6 separate regions of the Mus musculus genome follow, and regions 1, 2, 3, 5 and 6 are each reported to be linked to region 4. Evidence: microRNA targets listed by miRTarBase, many of them from high-throughput screens and not tested one by one. Region 4 holds a microRNA gene; each other region holds the end of a gene's coding sequence. Distances are between the middles of the regions.

Region 1 (4,854 bases), 68 Mb from region 4:
GCAGAGGCAGGTGCATTTCTGAGTTTGAGGCCAGCCTGGTCTACAAAGTGAGTTCCAGGACAGCCAGGGCTACACAGAGAAACCGTGTCTGGAAAAAACCAAAACCAACCAACCAACCAAACAAACAAACAAAAAACAAAAAGCAAAAATTTCAAAAGCTCTTTGAGGTTAAACATTAAGAAAATGCTAATTTCAAGACAGTGAGAAAAATTATCAACAATATTTCCATGATGTTTGTAGAACATGATTTTAATATTTTCAACTATTGATATTCAACAAACAGAATAGTTATCTTAAGAAATATTTCGTTGTTATATCTCCCTTTTCATTTCTGATTTTATTAATTTGGATACTGTCTCTGTGCCCTCTGGTTAGTCTGACTAAGGGTTTATCCATCTTGTTGATTTTCTCAAATCAACCGGTTCTGTTGATTCTTTGTATAGTTCTTTTTGTGTCTATTTGGCTTGATTATTTCCTGCCATCTACTACTCTTGGGTGTATTTGCTTCTTTTTGTTCTAGAGCTTTCAGGGGTGCTGTCAAGCTGCTAGTGTAAGCTCTCTTCAGTTTCGTTTTGGAGGCACTTAGAGCTATGAGTTTTCCTCTTACCACTGCTTTCATTGTGTCCCTTAAGGTTTGGTGTGATGTGTCTTCATTTTCATTAAATTCTAAAAAGCCTTTAATTTCTTTCTCTATTTCTTCCTTGACCAAGTTATCATCGAGTAGAGCGTTGTTCAGCTTCCGTGTGTGTGTGTGTGTGTGTGTGTGTGTGTGTGTGTGTGTGTGTGTGTGTGTGTGAAAGCACAGTACTCTGTGAAAACACTTTCTAGGTGACCCTGACCTGGACTTTGAAGTCAGAGTAGTCTCTAAGAGGGGCTTGACTTGTAATTGAAGCTTGAAGAACAAGTAGAGACCAAGCAGAGAGAGGGGCACTGAAGTCCTTTCATAGGTGCTCTCAGACACTTGGCTTCTGTGAACATTAATTACTTATTGCAACCACCCATTAAATAAGCTGTACTGTACTTTTCAGTTGAACCAACGTGTCTAAGGAAACAAATTGTTTGAGTAGCCCAGGCTTCAGCCAAGATGTTCTTGAATACAAGACTGTTTGTGCTCTTTGAAATACTGAAGTTTCAAGTTGTCCTCTGCTAATGCCCGGTTTCTTGTTTTGTTTTCATTACAGTGCGGAAGGCAGTCACGTGTCAGGACAGAGCAACGGCCGGGATCCTCAGGCCTTGGCTAAGGCTGTGCAGATCCACCATGATACCCAGCACACTATGTATTTTGCCTGAGAGTCTTGGAAAAGAACTCAACAAATTTGGCATCTCACGCATCCTCAAAATGTTTCCGACGCCTACTGCCTCTCTCAGGTGGTCCCTACCAGCAGCTCAGAATGGTTGCACTGAGTCTACTCTGCAGCCCTGTCTGATACATCAACAAAATTGAGCCAGTTGGGTTTTTTTGTTAAAGAAATAGATACTCATAGATTGTGTTTTCTGATGCACTGGGCAGAATTTTTACCTCAACGTGCAAAGGCTGATCAGCCTTGACTTTCTAAAGGACTTTCCAAGAAGGGTTTCTATGGAATCTTTTGCTAGCTGTGGTATTCACCGCATCTAGTCTTATAAGAGGAGTATTTCCTTTTTTCTGTGTTTATTGAATGGTGTGCATAAGTGGGAGAGAGAAACCAAACGGCCTGTATCATTTCCATGTAACTTTTTAATTGGGTGGGTCCATAGACCTCTTACTTCTGACTTTGCCACTGTCAATGCCTTTAAGGAGCATCAGCTTTTGAAAGTTTTACAGAACTCTGTTACCTTCACTGTTCTACTGATCTCTTCGGGCCTGCACTGTGGGGTACAGGCTGCCCAGCAATTGCACTATATTTGGCTGCAGATTCGAACAGGCAGTTCCCTTACTTGACTGGCTTTTGTGAGTCTGTGACATAAGCAGATGTGATGTGTGTCACAGGGACAGATACACTGCCGTGGTAAAAAGTACCCATGTTTTCCATATTTGGAAAAAGAGAATTAGCTTTTAGTATTTTTCCACATCTTCAAACATGCCCATTTTATGCTGCTGTGTGGTATGCTAGATCTAAACGATCTTTAAACTTCTCTCATAGAAAGTTAACTTTGGCAATAAGCATTTGTAAGGCCCTTGCCCTTTCTCCTGACGTCGTTTTCTAGATGAGATTTCAGTATGATTTTATCAACTATTTCTTACATATCATAACTGGGATATTCTGAAACCAGTTTATAAAGACACAGATTTCAATGTCCTTATAAATAATTGTTTTTAAAACAAAACAAAACAAAACTTATTTTATAGTCAGTGTCCTGTCACTTTAAAAAAAAAAAAAAGAAGCTGGAACCAGGATGCTTTGTGATCGGTCAGGCTTTGCCGATGCATAAGGCACATTGAGCAGTACTGCACTTGAAAAGAAAGTACCAGCCAGTGAAAACCTGGTTTCCCTGGGAATCAGGGGTGCACACACGGCTGCCTACAAGACAGCCTGAAATGTGCTTGGTGGCTCTGCCTTTCTCTTTTTCAACTAAAACTCTGTAGAAGTTGTTGTTGTTGTTGTTGTTTTTCTTTTTCTGTAACAGATTCTAGATTCCCTCACAGGAAGACAGGATTCCGTTTCTTGTCCAAACAAAGGGAATTGATGTAAAGCAAGAACAGTTAGAACATAGGGAAAATGTATTCTGTATTTAGTGTAGATAATACCTTGTAAAGGACAAGTGTTACATAGTCAAGGTAGTTGCACCCACGGTTTCCAGCCCATGTTTTACTCTAACCTGGAAGGTCAAGGAGTAAAAGGTAAGAGGCTCTCTGTAGAGCCACACTCCTCATGGCTGAGGAGGGTGCTGGGGAAGGAAGAGACAGGCACAATATGCTAAAAGCAATTTTGCAGTCTCGGTGTAGAAACCATTGGTGGGAAACACTGGATCAAATGGGAAAGGGTGTTTGCTTGAACTCATTAATTGGTCCAAGGTTCAAATCTGTTAAATGGGCCCTCTCAGAATCCCAGCAATAGAAAGCACTGTTTCCCTTCAGTGGCTTCAGCAAGTGTGTAGATACATTCATGTTTACATTTCTGTGTGCAGTCGCTCAGCAGTGCCACTGGTGTTTGCTGAGCCTGGTCTCCGAGAGAGTTTATAATGTCCGTCTAGTCCTATAGCACATGCGGATGGGTGCAGACATCTTTAATCTCTGCAGACAGTGGGAAAAGCAAGTCCTGTGACTGAAGCACAACACAGGCGTGAAGCGACAGCAGACGTCCGTTCCCTGAGATCTTCCTTTTTTTCTGCAAATACCTCCCTGGGATAATACAAATCCAGACATGTTGATGAATGGCTGACTGCCGCTTTTATTCACACCTGTTCAGGGAAAGCACAGAAAATGCTCTGTAGCACAGACATTCTGGACCCAAGAGGAGGGGGAACAAAGGAAGCCTTTTTAGGAAAAGGAAAACTTGCCTGGAGTCTGTGATGTGAAGAACTCTCGGTGGCTGGCAGCTGACAGAAGGCACCGTACCTGCACAGGAGCGCCTCGGGCTTGCTTGTTGACAATGCACAGAAGAGACTCTAGCCATCTTCCGACAGGATGGAACAGTGAGCGAGCTGTGTGCCCGGAAGCCCCATCCACGGTCCTGCAACTGAGTTGTAGGTTTGCCCATGAGCGATATGCCTGAAACACCACTGCCGGTCCTAGTATGCTGGGGTGAATCCGTGTGGAGCTGGAGGAAAAGCCAGGAGACCAACTTTTGTAGAAAAAACGGTATCAATAAGTGTGTGAAGCCGTTGTTCTGGGCAAGTGGAAAGAAATATGGAAGAGTTAGGATTACTTGGGGGAGGGGAACTTGCTGAGGGGTGAACAGTCCAGAGGTGATCACTTGAGAATCAGAACTGCAGTAATACCACCGTAAGCAAATCTGAATGCATAGTTTTAACTTAACTGGGGTTGACAATTCAAATAGGTACCTCCCCCCACCCCCCCAAACAAAAACCTGACTGAGTTGTTATGCATGTGTCAATCACTGGGAGGTGTGCATTCTCTAGTAGTGTTAGGCTGTTTGGTTCTTTTAAATGCAGCCTATTTAGGTACTGTCATGTAGTGTGGAAGATTTTGGTGCGGCAACTCTAAAGAATGACATTTTTGGGGCTAGGGAGCATAGGACATTAAGAACGGGAAAGACCCAAGTGTTGAACCAATTGTGTTTTTTTGTTGTTAGTTGTTGAATCCTGAGTTGATGCAGTCAGCATTCTGGGCAGGCGAACCACCTTTGTTCTTACTGTTAAGTTCTTTGTGCTGCTTCCAAAGATGATTTACAAGCAGGGATGTTCTAAATGGGTCTGTACCTTAGGGTCCGGGGTCCAGCCCATATCCTAGGTCAAAGCCTACCCACCTGGCTCAGCTACCTACTGCTTTAACCAGGCTCATCCTCTCTACTCCGCTGTGGTTGCCCTCCACGGATGTGCTCTGAGATTCTCTTGCTCAGTGGCAAGGTGGCTGCTCTGCTTTCATTTTTAAAAAAGCGGAAGTTAAGGTCATCATACTAATACTGCATCAACTCCAGGAATTAAAGGAAAGATCTTTATTGCTCAACCATTTTCTTATTGGTTCCTACTGACATATTCATCTCCTTTCTGTGTCTACTGGCTGAAATGTTTGTGTTTGTTCATCTGACTAACGGTATGGTTTCTGTATGGTTAGACTTGTAATGTTTTAAAATGTATTTTATTACTTTGGACTGGATGTTCCTCTCCAGCGATACGAGGTACTTTCTAAGCTATTAAGGAAGGGTTTGAATCCCTATGTGAGATAAGATAATGGTTGTTTAAATTTTGCAG
Region 2 (4,665 bases), not on the chromosome of region 4:
TTCTAAGTATACGGCCAAGCTCAGTCCCTGTGCAAACCTAGGACTCCGTCTTGGGAACTAATATATTCTGAACCCTCAGGTCTCTGAATAGCGGTCTCCTACCATCCTGCGATGCAACTTTACAAACCCTGAGAAGCCCTTGGGGACCCTAAGACTCCAAGGGTTCAAAGAGGGGTCTCACAGCATCTCTGACCCCATCCTTCATGAACTCAGGAATTGCTCTTACAGATCTGCCTCAGTTTCTAGAACCCCATGGGTCCTAAGGGGGTGCCTAAGTGAAAACCCAGGAGTGATTCTTGGGGACATCCTCATAACATTCAAGCTCAGGCCTTTGGAAAACTAGGAGACCTCTCCAAATCACAAACAGTCTTGGACTTTAGAGTGGTCCTCAGAATGCAAACCCTATATCTTGAATGGAAATAACGGGTGCAAGCTCGGGGGGTGGCTCTTGGGGACACTGTCCCAGACTGCAACCTTTATGGGTCCTAGAGGAATCCTCTAGTACACCCAGGAAAAAAATCGTGGGAACTCCAAAGCTGCAACCCTCCTAATAGAGAAGACCTGGTGCAAGTACAGGGGTGGGTCTCAGGGACCCCAAAGGCTGCAAGCCCTGGTACCCAAGAGAAACCGTCCAGTGCAAAGTCTAGTTTTCGGAGATCCCCCCTTCAACGCACCCTTAACTACACGCACGCAGAGGGTCACCCTCACACCGTGACGGCCCCAGACTCCCCGCCCCGAGCCCGCCGCCCACGTGACCCTCCCGCGACCCCGCGCGCGCCGCTGCCCCCTCCCCCGCGCGCGCGCACGCGCCCTCGCGGCCCCCTCACCTGGCGGGCCCGCTGCACGGCGTCGGCGAAGGCGTCCTTGCGGATCCCAGGGCCGCCGCCACCGGGAGGCTGTGAGGGGCCCCCGGACGCGCCTCCTCCACCCGGGCCGCCGCCGCCAGGGCCTCCGCCGCCCCGGTCTCCCGCGCCCGGCGGGCCCGGCGGAGGGCCTCCTCCCGCACCCGCGGCTCCCCCTCCGCCGCCAGCGGGAGGCGGCGGGCCGGGCGGGGGACCTCCGGTGTTGTAGTCCGACATGGCGCGGCGGGGACGGGCTTGGTGCGGAGGCTTCAAGCTGAGGAGGCGGAGGCGGCGGCGGCTCAACGCGGGAACAAGGCCTCGCTCCACACGGCCGCGGAGCACGATGGGAAGCCAGCGGCTGGGAAGGCGACGGGGAGGGGGGGTCGCGGAGGGGGAAGAGGGGCACCTCCTCCCGCCACCGGCTTGACGGACGCCGAGGAACAGCCAGTAGTATACGGCTACCACTCTACGCCCGCCAATCGTGGGCCGTAAATCCGGGCGACCAGTCAGAGCTTCGGAAGATGCAGGGGGCGGGAGGCGCGGTGTGACTGACGAAGATAGGACTCAATAAGCCCAGGGCTGCTGGCGCTGGGCGGGCAATTGGAAGTCACGCGAGAAGTCAGGAGGCCCAATGAAGCGCGAGTTCCACCTTCTCGGGGCGGCTCTAGGATGAGAGTGACGGCTCTGATCAGTCACGTGGCCTTGAGGGCGGAGCCTATGAAAATTCTCTGGGATGAGCTGGGCGGGCGCTCGGCAAGATAGTCGTCAACACCAGCTAATGAATACACTTAGGAGGCGGTGCTTGCTAAGATTGGCAGTCATTTGATCCAGTCCCCGAAGCATTTTGGAGGATGCGCTTGGATTTGGACGTGACTTTTCTCAGAATCCTTGTCCTCTGACTTCTGAGCCAATGGCTGAGCGACAAGGGCAAGCGTTCAATGATTGACCCCTCTGTGGACAAATAGCAGTAACAGAAGTAATAGTGCCCGCTTGCTGAGAGCCAGTGAAAGCGCATCTGCATTGGGGTGGAACCCGCTACCAGGCGGCAGGAGCGGATTAGTGGGAGCAGAAGTGAGTGGCAGAGGACGTGGGAGGTAGTGCTCAGCAGCCGGAACTATGGGCAGGACCTTAAGTCAGCGCCCCAGTAGCCTGGCTTGGGGAGGCCTTGCCCGTGGCCTGCCCGAAGCCTTGGGGGGTGGGGGGAGTGGTGGCCCGAAATTGGGTGAAGATTTTCCCTCAAAGGACCTTCACTTCCAAGACTCATGACACCAACTCCTCAAACTTCAAGCCTATTCCCAACCTCGACCCAGGCCCCCCACAGGGGTCCAAGTCTCCTGCTCCCAACCCTGGACTAAGAAGGAACCCCAAGTTCCCACAGGAGTCCAAACTTCCAGTTGCCACCCTGGGCCCAGAAGTCCCAGGTCCATTTACCGGAGTTCAAGACCCCTAGAGCTCCTAGCCTGGACCCCAAAATCTCAGGTCCTCCTGATCCCCAAGTCGTCAGGGTGGGGGTTGAACTTAGGATCTCATAAATGCTAGGCAAGCACCCTAGACGATACACCCCATCTCCCAGCTCCCACCCAGAACCAGCTAATCTCAGACACAGACGTCCAAAACTATCTTTATTCATTGTCTGCATCTTCTCTTGAACAAGCCTGCAAAAACCCGGCTGGAATCCCAACTCAGAATCCCAATTGGAGGACTCCCAGCGCTTTTCTAATCCGAGTCCTGGGTGGTTTTTGCAAACCAAAATGGCCTTAAAGCCTGAGCCTTGGAGTGCTTTTTGAGACTCAGGGACACTGGGTCTTCCATTCTCTTCTTGTTCAGGGCAGGTCATCTGCTCAGGACTTGTACACCCAGGGTTTTCTTCATGGCTTCATACACCAGGTAGCTGATGCCGCCTGCTGGCAACACCTTCAGTAAAGTGGGTGTCATGCCTCTGTACAGCCCCGGCCAGCCCTGCTGGCTCAGTATCCTCTTGAAGACTCCCTGCATGGTGGGGTTGGAGCCCTCCACAGTGTCTGGGGATAGACATAGACAAGGTCAGCACTGGGTATGATGTGAGATTCACTGTGAAGGATCTGATCACACTGAGGGAATGTTGTAGAGATCATTTGGTTATTGTTATATATGTATGTATGTATGTTGACATGGTATCATATGGTGCAGATTGGCCTAGAACTCCATATGTAGCTGAGGCTAGCTTTGAACTCTTGATTCCCTTGCATGTACCTCCTACTGGAATAACAGCACTATCACACCCAGTTCATGTGGTACTGGGGATTGAACCCATGCATATAAGGCACACTCTGTACCTTGAGCCCCAGCCTCAAAGTAGCTGAGGCTGGCTTTCCAAGTGATGGGTGATAGGCATGTTAACTTGAGGGCTAGGGTTAGATTAGGGGTGAGCATAAGCTTTGGTGGGTTCAGTACTTAGCAAAGGTGTTCTAAATGGGTTATAGAGAGGCTGAAAGTTGGTGGGAAAGGTGAAAAGATACAGAGAGCTGGAATGAGGCAAGGAACAGCTATGTGTAATGGCTCCTGGAGCCAGGCTGACCTTGAGCCTGCATCCTTGTGCGCACCAAAGTCAGTGGGTAACTGGCCATCTGGCCACAGGTCGTGGACAGTGTTACAGATGACAGGCTGACGAGGCCACTGGGGTCCTTCATGTCCCTGCCCAACTTCTGCCACAGGCACTGGAGTAGCTGCGAAAGGAGGCAAGAATGCTCTTGATACCGACTCAGAGTCAAGACAGGCATGGTGGTGCACACCTTAGTCCCTCCAGTGTTGAATCAGTGGCTGGTGGGTCTCCAAGTTCAGGGACAGCCAAGGCTGCATACTAAAACCCAATCCCATAATCAAAACCAGCTGGACACGATGGCACACACCTTTAATCTCAGCAGTAGGAGGCAGAGGCTGGAGGATCTCTTTACATTTGAGGCTAGCCTCCATGTACATACTGAGTTCTAGTTCAGACAAGGCTACATAGTGAGACCCTATCTTAAAAAACAACAGGCTTTGGAACTCTGAGTTTGAGGGCAGCCTGGTCTATAGAGTGGGTTTTAGGACAGTCAGGGCTATACAGAGAAATCCTGTCTGGGTGTCGGGATCAAACAAAAACAGTGGATTGGAGAGATGGCTCCCAGGTCAAAAGCATTTGTCCCTTGCAGAAGACCCAAGTTCAGTTCCCAGCATCCAAATGCTGTCTTAGTCTAAAAAAACCAAGATTTAAGAGAAGGAACACTGACTGCGCTTCCAGAGGTCCTGAGTTCAGTTCCCATCGACCACACGGTGACTCAAAACCATCTGTAATAGGATCTGATGCCTTTTTCTGGTGTGTCTGAAGGCAGCGACATTGTGCTCATACATATAAAATGAGAGAGCCGGGCATGGTGGCTCACGCCTTTAATCCCAGCACTTGGGAGGCAGAGGCAGGCAAATTTCTGAGTTCGAGGCCAGTCTGGTCTAGAGAGTGAGTTCCAGGACAGCCAGGGCTATACAGAGAAACCCTGTCTCGAAAAACCAAAGAGAGAGAGAGAGAGAGAGAGAGAGAGAGAGAGAGAGAGAGAGAGAGAGATACAGGCTGACCACCAAAGCCATGTTCTCCCCTCTGGAGACACACACCTCATAAACAGCTAGGTCGGTGCAAGCATAGGGGATGATGCCCAACATGTTGGGCAGGTAGCCTCGGTATAGGGCTCGGGTACCATCCCGTTCCAAGATCTGCCTGGCACAGTCCAGAAGCCCTTTATACTGGCCAGTGAAGCGAAGGGTCAGCCGAGTCTTGAGTACCTGGAGCAGGAGGAGATCCATTTGGTTAAAC
Region 3 (4,854 bases), not on the chromosome of region 4:
CGGAAGACGAGATACTCAAGGCGCCACCGTTTGGAGGTTCCTGCTCGTCAACCGGCCGCGGAGGTCGTTCTACGCAGGCGCAGAGCTGGAGGTCGCGCAGGGAGGATTATCTGGGGTTTTACAGTACAGGTTGGTGTCTTCCTAAAGGTGAAATTAATGTTTTCGGAGGCTGTACCCAGAAAGCGACCCTGCGGGGAGAAGTACGCCAAGCAAAGCTTTCCCAGATGGGAGTTTCTCCTGTCGAAATAAGTTTCTTCCTCCAGACAACGATGACGCACATTCCAAAAATTCCTTATAGCACTAGAAGCTAAGAAATGCATTACTGACCCCACAGCGGTATTGTACATTTAATACAGAGTGCGTATGATTTTGAATTCATTAAGCGTCGGTATGCTGGTAGATGAGTGATGAAGAATTGCAAAGAATAAGATTAAGTAAAATACCTGAAGGATTTGTTATTTTATTGTTGCAAGGTGTAAGCACAGACACTAGGTAGACTTCATCACAGAGTTAGTGCTTTACAAAATAATAAAATAAATAAACAATACTGGCAAACCCCTAGCCATAAAAAAGAAAAAGAAAAGAAAAGAAAGAAGAAACTAGGATTAATAAAATTAAAGATTAAAAATAGTTAAGTGTCAAGTCGACAAGGCTGGCCAGATTGCGAACCTCGGGAATACACCTGCCTCCACATCCCTGGAACTGAGTCTACAAAGGTGCCACCATACCCGAATTTTCTACATGGGCTCTGAGCTGTAACTTCTTTTCTCACGCTTGCAAGGTAGGCTAAGATCAAACCCAGGTCCTTGGCAAGAGCAGCTAATATTCTTAATTTCATTTTAAAAATATTTTGCGTTATTTGCATATTGTTTCCAAGCCCTGTGTGTCTTTACATATTCCTCACAATATGTATGTTTTTTGATGACTAGAATGCAGGGGAGTCACAGGAGACTTCTGATAGCAGGATAGAAGGCAAATTGGCCTCCAGCTCTTTCCCTTAGAACACAGCCAGTAGGCAGTAAGGAGCAGAACAGAGAGACTCTGGCCATGCCCAGATTCTGTCCCACTGCAAGTCCCAGCTAACAGCCACTAATACTCAGTGACTACAGAGATTTAAACCCATGATTTCTGCCAGACCCCTGTTCTGACTGAATGGAGATAGGTTGTCCCTGACCACCTCTGTCTGTATTATACATTCATGTGAAAATGCACACTTCTAACTGGTAGGTTTGGGGTGGCTAACCGCAAAACCTTGATGCTTGACATACTGCCAATAGTTTTGAAGCCCCTTCTATATCCTTCCCCGTTTGCACCTTCCTCCTCCCTTCCCAACTATTACCTAGACTTGATGCTCTTGCTTCTTGACTACATTTTATATGTATATGTACATGTAAATGTACTGTTACACAGATGTAACAGTAAACTAGTTAAATCATATTCTCTATGCTTTATGTACTTATTCAAATCGATGCAGGTTTTCTTTGTTTATATAATCTTAAACTCCATGTGTGTGTGGGGAGCACAAAGGAAAGAGACTGAACTCAGATAGCTGCATTTCCACAGAAAGTGCTCTGACCCTCTAAGCCATCTTGCCATTATTTTTGTTCTTAAAATGCTTATATGATTTTTCTCCCTTCTACTGCTGGAGACTGAACCTAGGGCCTTGTAAATGCTAACCTAAGCACAAGCTCTCCCACTGGGATGCCCTATGACGCAGAGGGCATCCAATCACCAAATAAATAGGTCATTGAAATAAAATACATTGACAGGATACAGAAATTTGTAATGCAAGTCACATTTTAATACAGTTTTAAAAAGACTTCCCAATGTAACTACAAATTTCATCAGGAAAAATATCTCAAAGAAATAACCATTAGGACACTTTTTTTTTTTTGGTGAATCCTTGGCTTATTATCTTGAGATGATAAAGGTATCAAAGGAGCCAACATTTTGACACTGTGATATGACATCGTCATCTACAGATGTGCTGGGATGCAGGTTACACATGCCCTACTGAGACTTTCTGCGTGAGCATTTTATGCTCTATGCACTATTCCCTGGCAGCTTCTTATAAATAGAACTGTTGACAGGATGAAACAGGAAATAAAGCCCTCCTAGTAAGTTGGTAACATTTGCAAGACTACACTTTTAAACTTTTTGTTACTACTGTTAGTAGTAAAATCCACCACCCCCCATAGAAAAATTCAGCAAAACTTTTTATTAATAATAAAGAATGTAATCTAACTGCAATAAAATCTCTGTGTTTGAAAAATAAATACCAGCGTGTGGTGCATGTCTATAATCCCAGCAACGGGGAGTGGGAGGCAGGAAGATAACGGCAAACTTGAGTTCAGCTTGGGCTGGGTAGCAAGATCCTGTCTCAAGAAAACAAAACAGAGATGTGGAAAAGAAGGACGGAGAGAGGGAGAGGGAGAAAGAAGAAAGGGAAGAGGAGAGATGGGGGGAGAAGATCAACAAATAGATGAACAGATTTACTAAAGGAATCCATTATAAAATCAGTACAAAGAGCGACTGATGCCTGTCATATTGGTGTGGAAGACTGAGGAGTCTAAAATGCTTTGGTTGTAGCAAATAATGAAACTTGAGGTTGTTAGAGCAGCCTTCCTCGGCTCTGCAGGGAAAAGAATCAGTGCAGAGTCTTTTGCCTTTATGAATTATCAATTGCTTGAATTATTTAACTCACCTTGGAACCATATTGGCTTTGATAATTGCATTACTTAGCAAACTGGGTGAGTTTTTTTAAAAAGGACCCAATAAAAACGGCTAAAGGCCAGGGCAGGGTGAAAAAGCTGAACCCCCGTCTGAGAAGAGGATAGATGCTTTCTGTGGAATGAAAAAAGCAACTACTTTAGTATCCATTCTAAAATACTAATACATCCTGGGGGCAGTCTGTACTATGTTTAAAACACAGTAAACCCCCAAATTTAAAACAGGATCCCCATCTTATTCTCAAGACTAATTTTCTACCGCAATGAATAAAAGTGCTTATAACTAATAATCTACTACACTATGAAAGAAAATACAAATGGCTTGTGTCTCATTGCCAGCAACGAGAGTGTTATATGCTTGATGTTTATAAAAGCATATACATATATATATATATATGTATATATATATTCATTTCTTACTTCCTATAGCTCTGATATTATCATTATATAAGTGAGCATAAGATAACCTTTGACCTGGTAACTAAAATGATTATGGATAAGTAAGATGTAAGAAGTCCCTGCTTAGGTGTTTAATTATTAATGTTCTGGCTCAATGGAATTAAACAGGAAGAGAACGCAATTCAGGGGGGAAAAGACTAGTTTATTTGTTTTATAAAATAGAATGAGAAAGCTTAGTGTAGATGGTCAGGAGGAGACAGTCTTAGGTGTCATCCTCACCAAGAGCAGCCCAGTACCTTTTTAAATCATCCCTAGAGGACAGACAGGGTAGTATATTTCCTGACCCCTGCCTGGTCGCTTGATTTCTTCTTAAGGAATCCAAAAGAAAAATACTTTCAATTTTGGTTACTCTTACAGTTACTATTCGCAGACTCCCTGGAAGCAACAGCTCCATTTGGTTTCTTGTGTCCCGAGAAGGAACAGTAAACTTAGTTCATAGCGGGGTGACCTCAGCTCTCAAAGGCTGTGACCAATTATTTGAGAGTTGTAATCTGCAGGCTCCATTTTTAAAATGTGTGGGATAACACTGTCGATCCGTACGTTGCCAATGAGACCTTTGAAGAACAACTCCTCAGTAATGGTAGCGTTCATCAGCCGCAAGGCGGGCAGTCTGAGAAGTAATCGCGACAGCCTGAAAGAGGAAGCGGAGACAGGCAAAGTCAAAAGAGACTGAGCAGAATGCAAAGCACCCATGTGAAATAATAGAGATCCAAGTTTCAAAACGAAGACGAGTAGTTTGGAATGCCAAGGCTTAGAGTGGCAGGGCTGCCATCTACAGCATACTGACCCCTGCACAGCAAAGCCTTGCTCTGAACTGCCCCACCACACAGTCCCTGCCTGGCTGCAAGAACCGTGGGACTACAGTATTAAACCACAGGTTAGGTACACTCGAGAACAGCTTCCCAACTTCAGAGGGGAAGAACAATGCTTTATATTATCAGAACACAGGAGGCTCAAAAAATCTTTTCTTTTGAAATCACAGACATAGACACATACATACACACAGACACACAGACACAGGTACAGACACACATATGGGTAGATTACACACACATAGGCACAGGCAGATACACTTAGACACAAAGATATACATAGACAACTCTTCAGAGACACAGACATAGAAAGACACACACACAAACACCCATAGACACACTAACAGACACAGAGATACATATAGACACAACAGATCCAGACATACCTAGACAAACAGATACACATAGACACAGAGAAAGAGACACAGACATAGACAGACACACACAATCCTAGAAATGACGTAATGACGTAATCGAAATGACGTAACAGATAACTGATACTATTATAACAAGCGTGGATAGAGAAAAAGGCCACTGGTCTCAAACAGTGACTCAACTGCCCCTTACTTCCTCCAGGCGTTTCACAGAGCTGGTGTGAAGATGAAGGATTGCTTCCTGTCCAATTCTAGGTTTGGGAGTAAGTTCATAAAGGTAGACCATTAGCTTGTGAGGAAATGAAATGAAAAAGCACTGTTCAAGGGGACCGACTTCTGAATAAGCAGGGACGTAAGAAACGGAGAAAGCATCCTTACTCTTGTGCTCTGGGCCATCGGAAAGGAAAGCAGGAGTTACGGGTTAGACATACACTGAGTTCAGGAGCATCTGACAGCTGAGGTAGACTGCCAGTGCTGAAC
Region 4 (4,854 bases):
ATTCAATCCCCACTGTTGCCTAAAAGCACCCCATGTAGTTACATCAAAATGACTTCATATAGTTACATCATATAGTTACATCATAATGACTCCATATAGTTACATCATAATGACCTCATATAGTTATATCATAATGACCCATGTAGTTACGTCATATAGTTACATCGAAATGACTCCGTAGCTACAGGACAATGGATAAGTTTTATTTTGTCTATGGTTCACTACCTGAGCTTCCTTTAAGATACGTTAGTTAAGAACTGATTCGGCAAAATCAAAATGTCCTTCAGAGATGGACTGAAATTTGACTGTATTCTGGGATGCAACTGGCCTGTCTGGATGGAATACACAAATTCGACAGCACTAGGGGGAAAGTAGCTTCTGACATCCTGATCTGAGAAGTGAAGAGAGTCAGGCCTTGAAGATGCTAACTTGGGTGTAGGGCTAGTGTAGGATTGTCCTACTTTGACTTGTTCCAAATCTGTGGAATTCCTGAGTATTTTTGTGAAAACCAATTTTTCCAGCCCAGACTGGCAATGCTTTCTACCCTGCTCACCCAGACTCTTGGGCTCCCTAGGAGGCTTCTCTGGCCCCTTCTTAGCTTTGGTTTTGTGTTCCATATGAAAGCAAAGAAGCAAAGATCAACCCATTAGGAAACAGCACTTCTAGAAAAAACGACTGATTCAGAGAGCAGGCAGTGAACGCCTTGCTTGGAGGGAAGGTGTGGTCACGTGACTGTGCTCTGCAGCTGGGACCTGTTGTTCCAAAGCTGCCCATTTCCTCCCTGACCCTTGCACCAGCATTCCAGGGTCTCTTACATTTGTTTTCGGGCAGCAGGCCCTCCCAGATTGCTTTGACAGACTATAAGAAAGAATCCAAGCTGGTTCAAGGACAGGCAACCCGCAGATATATTTTGAAGCCTCCTGCTTCCACCTTCTTTGTGATTGTGACAAGTTGTAGGGAACTTTCTATTCACCGAGAGGCATGGTTCCTGGGACTCAACCTTTGAGGAGCCTAGCAGGGTGCTGGACTTGCATTTTATTGATGGAAGTGGTGAGCAACAGTGGACAGCTTCTTGCTCTATGTTGCTGCCCAGATTCAGGCTCTACTTATTCTTGTTTTAGAAACTAGAGATACACATATACATGCACACACACACATGTATGCATACAAACACATATACATGCACACACATTCACACAGATATACCCAGACACATACACACAGATACAGACACACATACTCACACACATACATACATACACACTCACACACAATCACATATACTCACACACAGTCACACACACTCACTCACTCACTCACACACATATACACTCACAGACACACAGATATACTCACATACATACACTCATATACACAGACACGTACACATATTCACATATACTCACATGCACACATCACACATACATATACATACACACAGACACACACATACAGATATACAGACATTCTCACACACAAGCACTTGTATACACAGACACAATCATGAACACACAATCACACAATCACATACACACACTTATATACACACATAAACACTCAGACACACATAGATACACAGACACAATTCTCTTTATCTCCATCATTTCCATCTTTCGCTGTCACTAATCTGTATCCTAAGTGAAAACCTGACCGTTGAGGCCAGTAAGATTACAGTGGAGGTCATTATTCCTTATAAGTCTCGTTTGCATCATTGTTACATGTGATACAGGCTGAGAACCAGTTCTAGGCTGGAGAGAGAATGTCTTAGCCTGATATACCAGGTCTTCATGACCTTAGACCTCGTATCTTCTGCACTCCTGGCTTTACAATATGGAGCCGCAAACTGTATTTTCTCTCTTTCATACTGTTCCATACCACTTTTCAGGTTTGTGCCTTGGTCTGTAGAGTCTGCCATCAGAAGTAGGCCAGAGATAAACAACACCAAAGCAGCCTTGGCTCTGGAATTGTATATTATTTTTAGTTTCCATCTAGTCAAGTGTGGCACTAAGAAGCTGCAGAGCCACGGGGAGCGGTGTCACTTCCTCTCTTCCTTCCTTTTCTCGTGTTCAACTCTGAGTCCTGGGACTGTCTGGGAAGATGTGTAGCTAGTTCTGAGAATGCCAAGCCTTCATGGTTCGTATCATGCTCTCCTGCTCTTCCTCGCCGAGGATCCACCCAGAGCCCTGTGCACAAGCTTTCTCATCTGTGACACTCGAGATGGTTTCAGGGAGTGGACACTGGAGAGAGAGCTTTTGCAAGTCGCTCCTCATGCCTTGTGGGGTAGGAAGAGAGCTGTTGCTTCTCTGCTTCACAGATAATGAAATAGGGGTTTGCTCAACTCATCCACACGTCTTACAAGGACATAACCAAAACTACAGTCTGGACATAGCCTGTGATGCACCTCTGGAGGGTGACCCCACTCAGCTAGAGCTAAGTACTTATTTAAACACACACACGCACGCACACACATACACACACACACACACACACACACACACACACACACACACACACACACACACAGATGAGACTGATTCTTAGAAGCTCAGAGGGAAATTGGTGACGTGAGAAGACTTGATTTCAGACTATGCATTCTCTATGATTTAGGAGCCTGAACACCTTGGACTTTCCAGCCCCCTGCTCCTCTCTTATAATACACTGTTGTCTTTGGGTCAGTGTGATCCAGGACACCCCAAAAAGAGAAGGGAAAGGGGAGAGGAAAGGTCCACATGATCACTTTTTGTTCCTCCCCCTTCCCCCTTCCCCCTTCCCCCTTCCCCTTTTCCCCTTCCCCCTTCCACCCTCCCCCTTCCCCTCCACCCTCCCCCTTCCCCTCCCCTTCCCTTTCCTTCCCTTCCCTCCCTCTCTCCCTCTTCCTTTCCCCTCCCTTCCCCTCCACTCCTTTCCCTTCTTTCTTTTCTTTTCTTTTCTTTTCTTTTCTTTTCTTTTCTTTTCTTTTTCTTTTTCTTTTCTTTTCTTTTCTTTTCTTTTCTTTTCTTTTCTTTTCTTTTCTTCATTCATTTGTTTTCAGAGTGGGGTTTCTCTGTGTAGCCCTGGCTGTCCCAGAACTCATTCTGTAGATCAGGCTGACCTCGAACTTAGAAATCTGCCTGCCTCTGCCTCTCAAGTGCTGGGATCAAAGGTGTGTGCCACCACCACGCAGGCTAATATGATCAGTTTTTAATGTGGATTTCTGAGGCTATCACTGAGACATTTGATTGAATCATGAAGAGTCTGAGACAGTGTGGTTGGCCTAATCACAGTTATAACAACAGTTCCTTCCAGTGAAGAACGGAGAGGACTCCAATTCCTGCATGAAGTGTTCACATAGGTTAGCTTCTGTCAGGCTGGAGCATTTCCCATTTCCTGTGGCCAAATCTAATAGGGTGCTTTTTTTTTTTTTTCTGTCTAAAAGTGAAGTCCAAAGTCTCTTTTTTAAGGCCATCTCTTTCCTAAGAGGACCTTGTTCTTCTTGAATTTTTGCATTTTAAGAAATCATGAACAGCCCATGACAGTACTTAGATCCTCTTCTGATCAAAGTGAAGCAGCCTGGGAAGAAGGGTGTTTCCTCTCTGCCGCCCACAGGGAGAAGGAGGTAGTTTTATTTAATATATATCTGTCTGTGCTTGTAGCCAGCCAAGCTCTGAATTTGAGCTCAATGAGAGCTTTGATAAAGGGAAGGGGAAAAGGAACATTTAGGATTGTTTTTCCATTCATGACGAGTGTGTGTGTGTGTGTGTGTGTGTGTGTGTGTGTGTGTGTGATAAGTAGATGAATAATGAGACTGTGCACTTTCCCATCCAAGCCTTTTCCATCCTGAGAATGATTTCTTTCCTGGCTTCTCGATGAATAAGGCATTATTTCTGAAACCCAGGAGGCATTCTTTTGATTTCCCTTCATGTTTAACTTTCTGAGTGATTTTCAATAAAGGAAATTCAAGGGCTTGGAATGAAGGCTCTCTTAGCATTTTTATTGAGGGTCAGATAGAGCCGTGGCTATTATCTGCTGATATTTGGAATATTGTTTTCCCTCTCTGAGGAGTGTCTAAGGTATTGTATTTATAAGAAAAACGAAGCACCTTGGATGGCCTTCAAAGTGAACAGCAGTCTAAAACCAATACACATAGGTGGTACAGAACAAAGAGCTTTATACGGTATTTTTCTTCTTGCTCTATTTGTATTTCCCCGCTGAAAGGGTGCAAAAGGAGATGGGGGAGGCTCTCACATTCAAAGCTGGGCTGTTTGGAGACTAAATCACATTTGTTTTCTTTTTATGAACTCATTCCTTGAGATTGGTTCAAGCTGAAGACGCCACTGAAACCTGAACCACTGTGTGCATCTGAAGATTCAAATGCGTGTGGGGGTTCTCCCTGCTCACCCTCTCTCTGTTCACTACGTAGCTGATTATCCAATGGGGGGGGGGTAGCTGAGGTGTAATGGCACACACTGCCCCACTGGATTGATTCCTTCTGTAGAAGACCCCCAGCGCATGCCCCGATTACACAGTCATCAAAGCTAACGAATCATTTCATGGCTTTCATGTTCCCTCAGATCCAGGTGGAATGCGATCTCAGAAACTAAATAAGAAGGGATATTTTTTCTCATCTGCATTTCCAAAGCAATCATAATTATAGAAAAATCTGAATAATTCAGAGTAGTAGTGGGTGAGAAAGCAGAGAATTGACCTAGGTTACAGGGCAGCTGAAATATAAGATTTGGTAATAAATACTTAACTTTATAATTTGCAAAAGGTGGAAGGATAATGTGGTGCTTTCAGGAATGTGGATGCCAGAGCCAGCGTCCAAGGGCATAGACTCTGTGATTTGATTCTTGTTTATCACCTCACAGGGTCCTA
Region 5 (4,854 bases), not on the chromosome of region 4:
AGAACCACTGCTCTCTCGTGCTAGGATTACAGATTTTATGCAACATTGAGGATGAACCCCCAGGCAAGCACTGTACCAATTTAGCTACAACCTCAGCCCCAAGGGCAGCATTCTGTGATAAGTATGTTTTGTTCATAGTCTAACACACATTTCACAGTTTGTATCCGTGGTATCTCCAGCACACTTGGTGTCTGTGTGAGAAGCCTCATGGGGCTTAGAGGCCTGCATGTCCTTTTGGGCTGGTTTCAGCTAAGGTGGGGAACTTGGAGCAGGTAGACCCAGCACTGGTATGCCCACCTGTGGGCTGGAGACTTCAGCTTGTGAGTTGTATGGGTCACCTTTGACAGGGTTTGGAGGTGTCTGCATTAGGATGGGGGGGAGGGGGCAACCCTTCACCATATGCTGATGTTTTCAGAGGAGGGAAAGTTCCTATTATGTGAAGCCATAGGCTGTTGTATGACCAGCGCTGGTTGGCCTTTGTGCTGAGTGGAGCCTGTCTGCGGTGTCCCTTTGCTGGCGGGTGCCACGCTGGCTCGGGGCTGGCTGTGGCAGCGGGTAGGGCAGGGCAGGGGTTGTGGTGGGCACTGGCCTTACGCCCGGCCTTGGTATAAATATCCCCAGGGCTGTTTACTCGGGGCGGCAGCAGCCCAGCAGGTCCTGGGGGGTGGGGGATGACCAGGCCACAGCACAGACATTTCCTTCTACTCAGACAGATCGGCAGTCTTGCTCTCCTCTCGTGGGTGGGGACAAGGTGGTGACCCCTTGTTTTAGGCTCTTAGGGGCCACCAGTAGAGCTCTGACCTGGATTTCCCAGGGTCTGAGAGACAGGCAGGGAAGGGGATGGACCAGGAGACAGCAGGGGGACGGGAAAAAATGAGGGTACAGGCTGGGGTGGGGGGTGGGGTCAGGCTACTGACAAGGGTGTCAGAGCCTGGTGAGTGACAAGGGAGAAGTGTGCTTGGGGATTAATGACAGAAGCCAGGAAGAAAAGGGAGAAGATGGGAGTCACAGGGGTACAGATGGGATAGGTAGGAAATGAGGACAGTGTGGGGCAGGCAGGGACCTCCCCACAATGGAACTGAGGCTGGGGGAGCAGGCAGCAGAGAGGTGGGGGTGTCACTGGTGCATGGCAGCAGCCAGCAGAGACCTGTCCAGGGCAGGACAAACAGGAGACATGGAGGTGGGGGCCGGATGCCCAAAGAGGGGCTCTCCCTCCCTGACTCAGCCTCTCCGCCCACCCCATCCCCAGGATCCAGATCAGAAGCAGTGGCGCCAGCCACCGTGGGGGCTGCTCGAGCAAGCGGGGTGTGCTTTTGCCGCCTCTTCCCCCTCCTCTGTCTCCACCTTTCTTCCTGTCTCCTCATCTAATCCCTGTCCTGGTGGCTGGCCCCACCTCTGTCTCTCATTTGCAGGCTCATCTGAGCCATTTGACTAACTCCAGATCCTGACTCAATGGCTGTGCAGCTCAGCTCTTTTAGAAAGTTACATAACAGATGAATGGATGGCAGTTTCTATCTTAAATAAGTTTAATGATCGGACAGAACACTGGTCAACTGTGAAAAATACCTAAGCCACAACTTCCCAAAAGAGCACTCCTGGCTCCTGTCCAGTGTGGTGGGATCCCAGCTGGGGACTCACTGCGTCCTCTGGGGAGGTAAGGGTAGGGGTATAACAGTCCACCACCTGCCACCATACTGTGTACCACAACACCTGCACCTTCTACAGTCCCCCGAGATGGGAGGAAGTCTGTCTTCGGATCTCCACCGCTGTCCAATGAGGACACATGGAGGCACACTGGCCAAGTGTGTTCCAGTCTTGGTTCTGCATGGGAGACCAGGTGGTCTCAAGATGCAAATGGCTACTTCTGGGTTCTTTCCATCCTTTGAGACAAGTGGCGACCAACAGTCTTGTTTCCAGGTCTGTTAGGAGGTGTCAGTCAGGCCTGGCCCAGGCTGAGCTGTTGAGGATCTTTCAACAGTTTAAGAGAACACCTTCTACCCCACTGGGTGAGTTTACTTGATACAGAGGGCAGAGCCAAGACCCAGGGTCAGGACCTTGGCTTTACAAAGCAGTTTTAGGTTCCTTCAGGTATGGCCAGAGCAGAATGCAGCCATTTGCCATTCAGTGCCACAGCAGTTTGGATTCTCAGGCCCAGACACGCTGGCCTCCATCCCCACAGGAGCAGGTTGCTTCTGTCTGCTGGGGACGCAGGGGCCGGGTGTGGGGCATGGGAAGGTAGGGCGTCTGGGTTCCCACAGGCCATGGCTGAGTCACAGGCAGCCATCTGGCTTTCATTAGCCCAGGGCAGCAGGGGGCTCTGTGGGGCGGGCCCTGTGGCCAGCTGGGGGCAGGGACACTGGGGCAGGCTGTGTGTCTGTGTGTGATGACTCAAGACCCATGATAACAGCCTGTGCGTATTTGGGGAGTGTAAACAGGCGAGGGAGAGGGAGAGGGAGAGGGAGAGGGAAGGGAGGTGGAGGTGGAGGAAGTGAGGAAAAGGAAAACTGTGGCTGGAAAGGGGGGGTTGGTAGGGGAGAGTCCCCCTCTTCAAGTTCCTCCCACACTCAAGCTGGCCCTGTGGTACCCAGCCCTGCCTCTGCCGGCACTCCCAGCTAGTGTCCAAAAAGGAGCAGCAGAGGCTGGTGCCACCTGGGTTCCCCTAACCTCCACCCACAGGGAAGGCTTCTGATGCCCTTGGCTGCCAGGCCTGGGGAGGGGGACCCAGAGAGCCAGAGCAGTAAAGGCTGAGAAAGAGGGGCAGACATCAAGGCCAGGGGATCCATGGGCGTGAACAAGGGTGGGGAGGCATGGAGGGTAAGGTGGGAGCTTGGGGGAAGCAAGAGGGCCCTGCGTAGGACACTGGCAGAGAGAGGTGGAGAAACTCAAGAGCTGCGCTGGCATTCTGGTGGAGCTGGACACTAGCATCCATGGGGCAGCTGCAGCCACCAGACAGTTGTTAGGGCCCTGCTGTGGGCACAGCACCCGTGACACAGATGGGTACAAGGTGGATGCGCAGAGGTTAGACTTAGGAAGCGAGAGGTGGGGCAGTGGCATGAAGGGAGAAAGTGAGTAAGAACAAGACAGGTAGACAGGGCATAGGGACTCGCCTGTACACGCAACCTGGGGGCAGCCGAGGCAGGAGGACTGAGTTTCAGGCCAGCCTTGGCTACAAAGCAAGTAACACAGGCAAGTTATATAATAAGATCCTGTCTCAAAGAGAAAAGACAGGTGGGGCCAGAGCCAGAGGAGCAGTAATGTTCCCAGAGAGGAGTGGGAACCCCTAAACACAAGTGGAGGCATTGTCTGAGGTGGGCCAAGTCTAGAGGGGCCTGAGTCACTAAGCCGGTTTTAGCCAGCGGCCTGCGGGGTGGCTACAAGGGTGAGAGCCATCAGTCCCCACCCAGCTCTGCACTAGACACATCCTCAGGCTCCTCTTCATCAAAGTACCGGTCCTCCTCATCACGGGCCACAATGTCCAGGTTGTCAAAGTCAGGGTTGTCATCCACCGTGCTGCGGAGAAGAAAGCTGTCAGGCGTCATAGCAGACCCAGCTCGGGAACTGACCACCTGAGTGTGCTTGTGCCTTTGGGAATCCTAAAGAGGTGTTTTCCCAATCAGCCTACATAAAAAAATGCCTGCTTCTTTGACAGATCGGAAGGTGTGACGACACCACAGCCCTCGGGCTTCTAAGGCTTTGGCTTTTATGTGGCACCCACCCCAGTTCCACTGTGTGACCTGAATCACCAAGGCTCCACTCCTGTGGGATGAGCCGTCTCAGTCCTGCCTCAGCACTGGAGTTCCTTTGTGCCTCAGGGTGCCTGCACCTGTCCTCACCCTTGCTCTCTGCAGAGCTGCTCAGAAAACACCCCACTGAGGCTCTGACCACTGCTCTGCTCCCCCGCACGGTCTTCAGAGCTCCCTCACCAGTGGAAGTCGGGCAGTTCCTGCTGTAGGGGAGATTTCCTTCTTTCAGGAAGGTAATCCTTGGCTACATCCATCCCTGCTTTAACCCTAGGGTCTGGACACAGCAGATGTACAAAAGTGTAAACTGATTGTGGGACACATTTGGGTATCTGCTGCCCTCCTGAAGGAACAGGCTTGGGCCCCCTCTTCTGGTGTCCTCGGGGTCACTTAGTGTAGTAGCGGGGCTGGCTCATAGTGTGCCAGAGCCAACACTGCATAGCCTTGGTGGCCCCAGCGAGCAGTGGATGAACATCACTGATGTCAGAGCTGTGGGATCCCAGCATGGTCGCTATGGCAGCGATAATGAAGCTATTTGTGGACACAGTTCCCATGTCATTGGACCTGGATGTGAGCAGGCAGGGTCCTGAACTGCCAGACTAGGATGACGGTATGTTATCTTTCTCTCTCTCCCTCCCTCCCCTAGCCCCTCTCTTGTTTTTTCTTGAGATGGGGGTCTCATCATGTCTCCCTGGCTGGATCAGAGATCCAACCACCTCTGTCCCCCAAGTGCTGGGATGAGGTGTGCCCCATTAGGCTTCATTTAATGCTTCGTCAACACTGCGTTAAATGTTGGCTCAGTTTACCCCTTCGTTTACAGATGAAGGGGCTAAGGCTCTGAGAGGGACAGCCACCTCCCCTCAATGATCTGAAACTTCCAGAGTGACTGACACCAGGTCCCTCAGTGGGGAACTATTCCCGAGCACTCTAGCACTGCGAAGGAAGGCTGTCTGAGGAAAGGCAGGGACCTGCCTGGGACCATAGGTGCTGGGCTGGGGGTGGGAGGCACCTGTAGTCAAAGCCCCCATCTTTGCCGTCCAGGAATCGCTGGTGCATGCGGCTGGTGAACTCCTCGCGAAGGATCAGCCTCTCTTCCGAGTCAGGCACCCAGGCT
Region 6 (4,854 bases), not on the chromosome of region 4:
TCAGCATTTTCTAGTATTATAAACCTTTAGAAGGAAAATACAACTAGCTACCACCTGTAGTATCTTTCTTTCAAGGGTATCCCACTTCTCACCACAAAAATATTGATCATGTATCATAAAATATTACTATAGAATATGCAGAAGCTTGCTTGCTTGCTTGGTTTCCTTTCTAAGACCATAATGATAAACAAGCATAATCAAAAAGGCACCTATTTTGTATATATTTATATTGTAACCTTAGTATAAACTGCATCTACTGAATATAGGGCTGTATTATTAAAGATCAATTATTTTCTTTCTCATTTGACTGAAAACATTCCACTGGAGGTGGATGAACCTGAAAAGTAGGTGTGTCACTTGCTCTCAATTATGGAAAAGGTTTTCCCCTAATTCCTATAGTGTTATAGGCCTCCAGCAGAGAGAAGATCCCTAACTAAAAACATCTTCATCATCTTCAAGCAAAGGACCTAGTAGCAAGAGAGAAACTGGACTAATCTCATCCATCCCCCTTACAAGATGCTTGTAGAAATTGTGCTTAGACATTCCTGGGTGCTGTGTGGAGGCTGGGAGACATGGGAAGAGGCAGAGCCTCCATGGAAAATGAAAACCAGATCAAAGTTGCAAACTGGGCTGTGCTGCAGATGTGCAAGCAAAATGAAGATAGGAAGATATTTTGTCACAGGCTAGAAAGAAAAAGCTTTCTAGATAACAAATGCTTTTTTTCTTAAATCTACTACAAAAGCTTATAGCAAAAGCATTATATCAAGTTTCTAAACTTTTCTCAAGAGGACTATGAACCAAAGGCATTTGTTTTCAGAGACTTTGAGAAGTGTATCAAGTACCTTCTTGTGCTCCTGGCAAGCTTGGAATCCATCAGATAGGAAGAGGTGCGTGCCCTCTGTGCTTGGCATTTAGTCTCCTTTGACTCCAATTTCTAAGGGGCTTGTTCTTAAATTCTTCTATTGCTGTCAATGTTACATGTGACATATTGACTGCCAAACTGCACGTGGGAGGGAGGCATGTGGAAAGCGAAAAAGGTGCTAAGAATATAGTATTTCTTAAAAAGATGCTGCAAAAGATGGCACCTGGCTATGACACATCTAGGCTCGACGCATAATCTCGAAAGCATGCCATATATTGCTCTGCCTTGGTCTGTATGGAAAACTGGCTGTCCTGGAACTCACTCTGTAGACCTGGCTGGCCTCGAACTCAGAAATCTGCCTGCCTCTGCCTCCCGAGTGCTGGGATTAAAGGTATGAGCCACAGCTGCCAGCTCCAGATCATATCTTAATTCTGAAAGACTTGAAACAGAAATATCTTGCTAAGCAAACATTATGCAAAGCTCAATATTTAGAACGGCTATCTCCTAAATATGTACTGACTCTCACACTCATCAAGTCTGACTTTGAAATTAATGAGTGGCAAAAACATGGACCATAGAGTCACTACTTTGTGGGGACAAGCAAATGTTAAGCATCATTTCAAAGTTGGCTTCTGTTGAGATTCCTACACATATACTATGATCAAAATCATACCTGCCCTGCATTTATCCTAACATTTTAATTTTGACTACTTTTGAAAAATAGTCACAAACACACACACACACACACACACACACACACACACACAAATGGTCTGCCTCTGGAAGCATAAAAGACATATCACATAAATGAAGCAACTTATCACCCTTGTTTTTCGGGTACAGATTTTTGCAAATTATTGCAAGTGCAGTTTATCTTTGTAGGTGTGTGTTCAAGACATGAAAGCAGTTAGGAAAGTTAATAATGATTGGTTACTTAAATTACGTGAAGATTAGGTAAGCTACTTACTTATGAGTCTATAAAAACAACCTCTCCAGAAAAATCTCTAGTTATCTGCAGAATTTTCCTTTTCAATTTTCTATCTGTGTCACAGAAATACAGCTTAGTGTGACAAAACTTTTCCTTAAAGCAAATCTAAGAAAACTAATATTTTTCAAAAGTATGGGCTCACTTTCTAAAGATTTACATGAACCCACTTTGGACTTTGGCCTTATAAACATTTCATTTGAATGGTTTTTGTTGTGGATGCTTTGTTTATTTCTTTAAGCATATTGTGTAAAGTAGATATTCCCACAGTCGCAGTATCCTCTTATATTTTTGTGACTTTACTCTCTTCATTTTCAGAGCTTACAAGAATGCCACCAAGCTGCAAGTCACAGTCAGAGGCACTATGAAAAAACAGAGTTGCAATAAATGTCAACATCCAGGTGACTTCAACTGCAGATTCCAGACAAGTTTACTCACAAGTGTGTGAGTCCTGCAAACTACTCAAAACCGGACACTGATTTCTTCCTTAGTGGATTATCTGTTGGACATCCCTCCCCACCAAAAAATCACTCATGACTTTTTTTAATCTAATCGTGAAGGTGACTTAGAAAACAAAAACGGGAATGGAAAAGGGAAGCCTTTTTATGAACATATTTAATGGCCAGATTTCTATCCCAGCATCTGAAGACTGATTACCAAAGTATAAGACCAGATTGTCTAACTGTGAGCAAACCTTTGCTGTTCTGTGTTTTTGGTTTTCAGCTACTTTATACTCCATTTCCGCTTACGGTCGAGGCTGTTCAATTCACTCCACTTTTAAATCAATGGTGGCATTAAGTGAGTGAAAGCTATCCAGTAAATACATAAGTCTCCTATTTACTAGAGTATATATGTAGTTCCTAAGGTGTGAGTCTTTCAAAACTAGAGTGTAATGCAGCAAGAAAGCCTCAAGCAACTTTTCAAAATGTTTTCCAATGAGCGGGCAACTAGAAGAAGGGCAGGGAGAGAGTGGCCATACGGTTGACTTTAGTAACAAGGATGGGCTAGCAGCTGTTACAGATGTTGCCATGTTACAGAAGCTCACGCCCACAGACATGCAACAGGATAGAGGCTACTGGTGAAATAGTACAGATGACATTAGACTTTGCCCTTTGCAGAGAAGCTGGGAAGTTACCTGGTCCTGACATTCTGGGGACCTGAGCAGATGCACTGCTCCACAGAACATAAATGGAGATAGGCTACACCATGAAGCACATGAGAACTAAATAGCTCCCGCTCAGCCTAGGGAAAGGCTAAGTTCCCTGCCGACTCCCTAAGGCTACAGTCAATATGATTTTAACCAGACCCATTCTGCCACTGTTTCCATTTATTTATTATATTAGGTGATCCTCCCTTGAATTGAAAATTATCCAATGATTTAAAAGCTGAACAGTTTTTAAATTATTGGATGTGTTGCTGGACTATGAGAATTAGCTATGGATGATTCCAAGTGACAGCTAAGAAATTTCATACATTTGTTACACTTAAGGGACAATCAACATCTCTATTAAAGTCTACAAAAATACATTTCCCAGAAGGGTTGGATAGCCAATTGAATGAAACCACAAACACAATTAGCAGCACCAGGTCTCCAGACCTAATGGTTTTGTTTACAGGAATTACTATGGATGCTGCCATTTCCAGCCTGAAAGTCAATTCCTTTTTTCCTGGTACCTGTGTGTCTAATTGTCAAAGTAAGGATACATTATTGTAAAATAATTGCCAAGTTATCTGAAAAGTATCATCTATCTTTTAAAAAGATTGAGTTTGGAATACATCATAATAAAGCTCGAAGGGCAAGGAGAAAGAATTAATTCACAAACTCAATGTAATTTGCTGGGAGCATGCCCGTTCTCCCGGTTCTCTGCACGGTGCCATACATCCAGCCATCATCAATGGGCTGCACGTTGACAATGTAGTCACCATCTCGGAAGGAGACCTCATCTTCATCCTGGGCGCTATAATCGTACATGGCGCGGTAGGTCCTCTGAAAAAGAATGAAGTGATTGTATGTGGTATTCTAAAGTAGGAGAAGATACAAATCTGGACTATAACCAACTACCACACACGTGATGAGTATGAGTGTTTGCAGGTGTTGCTATCTTTGGGCAGCTCAAAACCAGGTGTATCACCTATTCTATAAATCTTAACTTTGTCCATCTAGAGGAAACATATTTAAGGTCAAAGCAAGGGTCCAGAAAGATAGCACAGTACCTTAACTTTAAAAGACAATAAATAAAATAGTGTGCCTCTCTAAAAGTAACCTTCAAAGGAATAACACCAGGTCCTGCATGAAAAAAAAAATCCCAGAAGCCTTAGATGATGTAGATTTTCTTCAGTTCCCTTCTTTCTTCAGGAGATTAAGCCTCTCCCTCCCCCATTAACAGCAGGCCTGTAGTCTAGTGGCTCTCTGCCAATGGCTTTCCCCTTGCACAGAAAGTGAACTTTTCCTAAGTAAATACTAAGAATTTTTGTTCCTCCCCCAAAAAAATATTATAAAACTCATCTATTTACTTAAACATTATACATATCATATCACAGGGCCATAAATTCCCTACATAAACATCTGATTTTTGAGATACATATAAAGAAATTTTTATTACAGTGAAAAAACTTAAATTGCATTTTTATATTTGTTTTAGTTCAAGTCTAAGAGTTTGTCTAATATTAATAATCAATAAACCTCAAAGCCAAGAATATTCATAGATTAAGGAAACAGGTAACTGGCTGGCACACAGTAGACCTGAAAGCAATTATTTTCTTGTCTCCTGCTTCTAAATATTGAAGCAATCTCAGCATGAGACACCAAGTATGAGCACAAAGTAAGTTTCACTTCTGAACTTTGAACTTAATGATGAGTGTGTCAAGACTTCTAACAGGGATGTTTGAAGGCTACTATTCTCAATAGACTTTAAACTGACGTACCTTATTTGAACAGATTTGGGAGTATAGCAGGGCATTTCAGTACCGGGATATAAACAATGCCTGGCAGATCAGAGTAACTGGA

Evidence for each region. The annotated mature microRNA mmu-miR-3095-3p reads UGGACACUGGAGAGAGAGCUUUU and lies in region 4 at 2,232-2,254, shown strand. An mRNA with a match to its seed (bases 2 to 7 or 8) in the 3' UTR can be bound and repressed. Matches are read on the target gene's strand: a 7mer-m8 pairs with bases 2 to 8, a 7mer-A1 pairs with bases 2 to 7 and ends in A, and an 8mer does both.
Region 1: the mRNA of Ago4 is a reported target of mmu-miR-3095-3p. Seed matches in the 3' UTR shown: 7mer-m8 at 2,332-2,338.
Region 2: miRTarBase lists Slc25a41 as a target of mmu-miR-3095-3p. Seed matches in the 3' UTR shown: 7mer-m8 at 2,637-2,643.
Region 3: miRTarBase lists Nr2c1 as a target of mmu-miR-3095-3p. Seed matches in the 3' UTR shown: 7mer-m8 at 1,877-1,883.
Region 5: the mRNA of Ccdc97 is a reported target of mmu-miR-3095-3p. Seed matches in the 3' UTR shown: 8mer at 2,913-2,920, 7mer-m8 at 2,855-2,861 and 7mer-m8 at 2,352-2,358.
Region 6: miRTarBase lists Nebl as a target of mmu-miR-3095-3p. Seed matches in the 3' UTR shown: 7mer-m8 at 2,318-2,324.

Annotation. Positions count from the first base shown.
Region 1 is chr4:126,489,659-126,494,512 of GRCm38, reverse strand. It overlaps Ago4 (argonaute RISC catalytic subunit 4), which reads left to right. Exons shown (of 18, transcript NM_153177.3): 18 at 1,182-4,854. The coding sequence ends at 1,290. Among named protein-coding and RNA genes, the nearest start is that of Ago1, 24 kb to the right of the region's middle.
Region 2 is chr17:57,030,321-57,034,985 of GRCm38, forward strand. It overlaps Slc25a41 (solute carrier family 25, member 41), which reads right to left. Exons shown (of 7, transcript NM_175333.3): 5 at 4,467-4,634; 6 at 3,400-3,547; 7 at 2,452-2,863. The coding sequence ends at 2,676. Khsrp (KH-type splicing regulatory protein) reads right to left here and starts at 1,187. Exons shown (of 18, transcript NM_010613.3): 1 at 828-1,187. The coding sequence starts at 1,079.
Region 3 is chr10:94,194,142-94,198,995 of GRCm38, reverse strand. It overlaps Nr2c1 (nuclear receptor subfamily 2, group C, member 1), which reads right to left. Exons shown (of 14, transcript NM_011629.3): 14 at 1,782-3,819. The coding sequence ends at 3,645. Among named protein-coding and RNA genes, the nearest start is that of Ndufa12, 2.5 kb to the left of the region's middle.
Region 4 is chr4:58,438,423-58,443,276 of GRCm38, reverse strand. It overlaps Mir3095 (microRNA 3095), which reads left to right and starts at 2,179; the gene lies at 2,179-2,265. The region is part of intron 3 of Lpar1 (lysophosphatidic acid receptor 1); the gene reads left to right.
Region 5 is chr7:25,709,604-25,714,457 of GRCm38, forward strand. It overlaps Ccdc97 (coiled-coil domain containing 97), which reads right to left. Exons shown (of 5, transcript NM_028771.3): 4 at 4,750-4,854; 5 at 1,509-3,510. The coding sequence ends at 3,390. Among named protein-coding and RNA genes, the nearest start is that of Ccdc97, 7.0 kb to the right of the region's middle.
Region 6 is chr2:17,345,037-17,349,890 of GRCm38, forward strand. Nebl (nebulette) reads right to left here. Exons shown (of 26, transcript NM_001362722.1): 26 at 1-3,834. The coding sequence ends at 3,658. Among named protein-coding and RNA genes, the nearest start is that of Nebl, 120 kb to the right of the region's middle.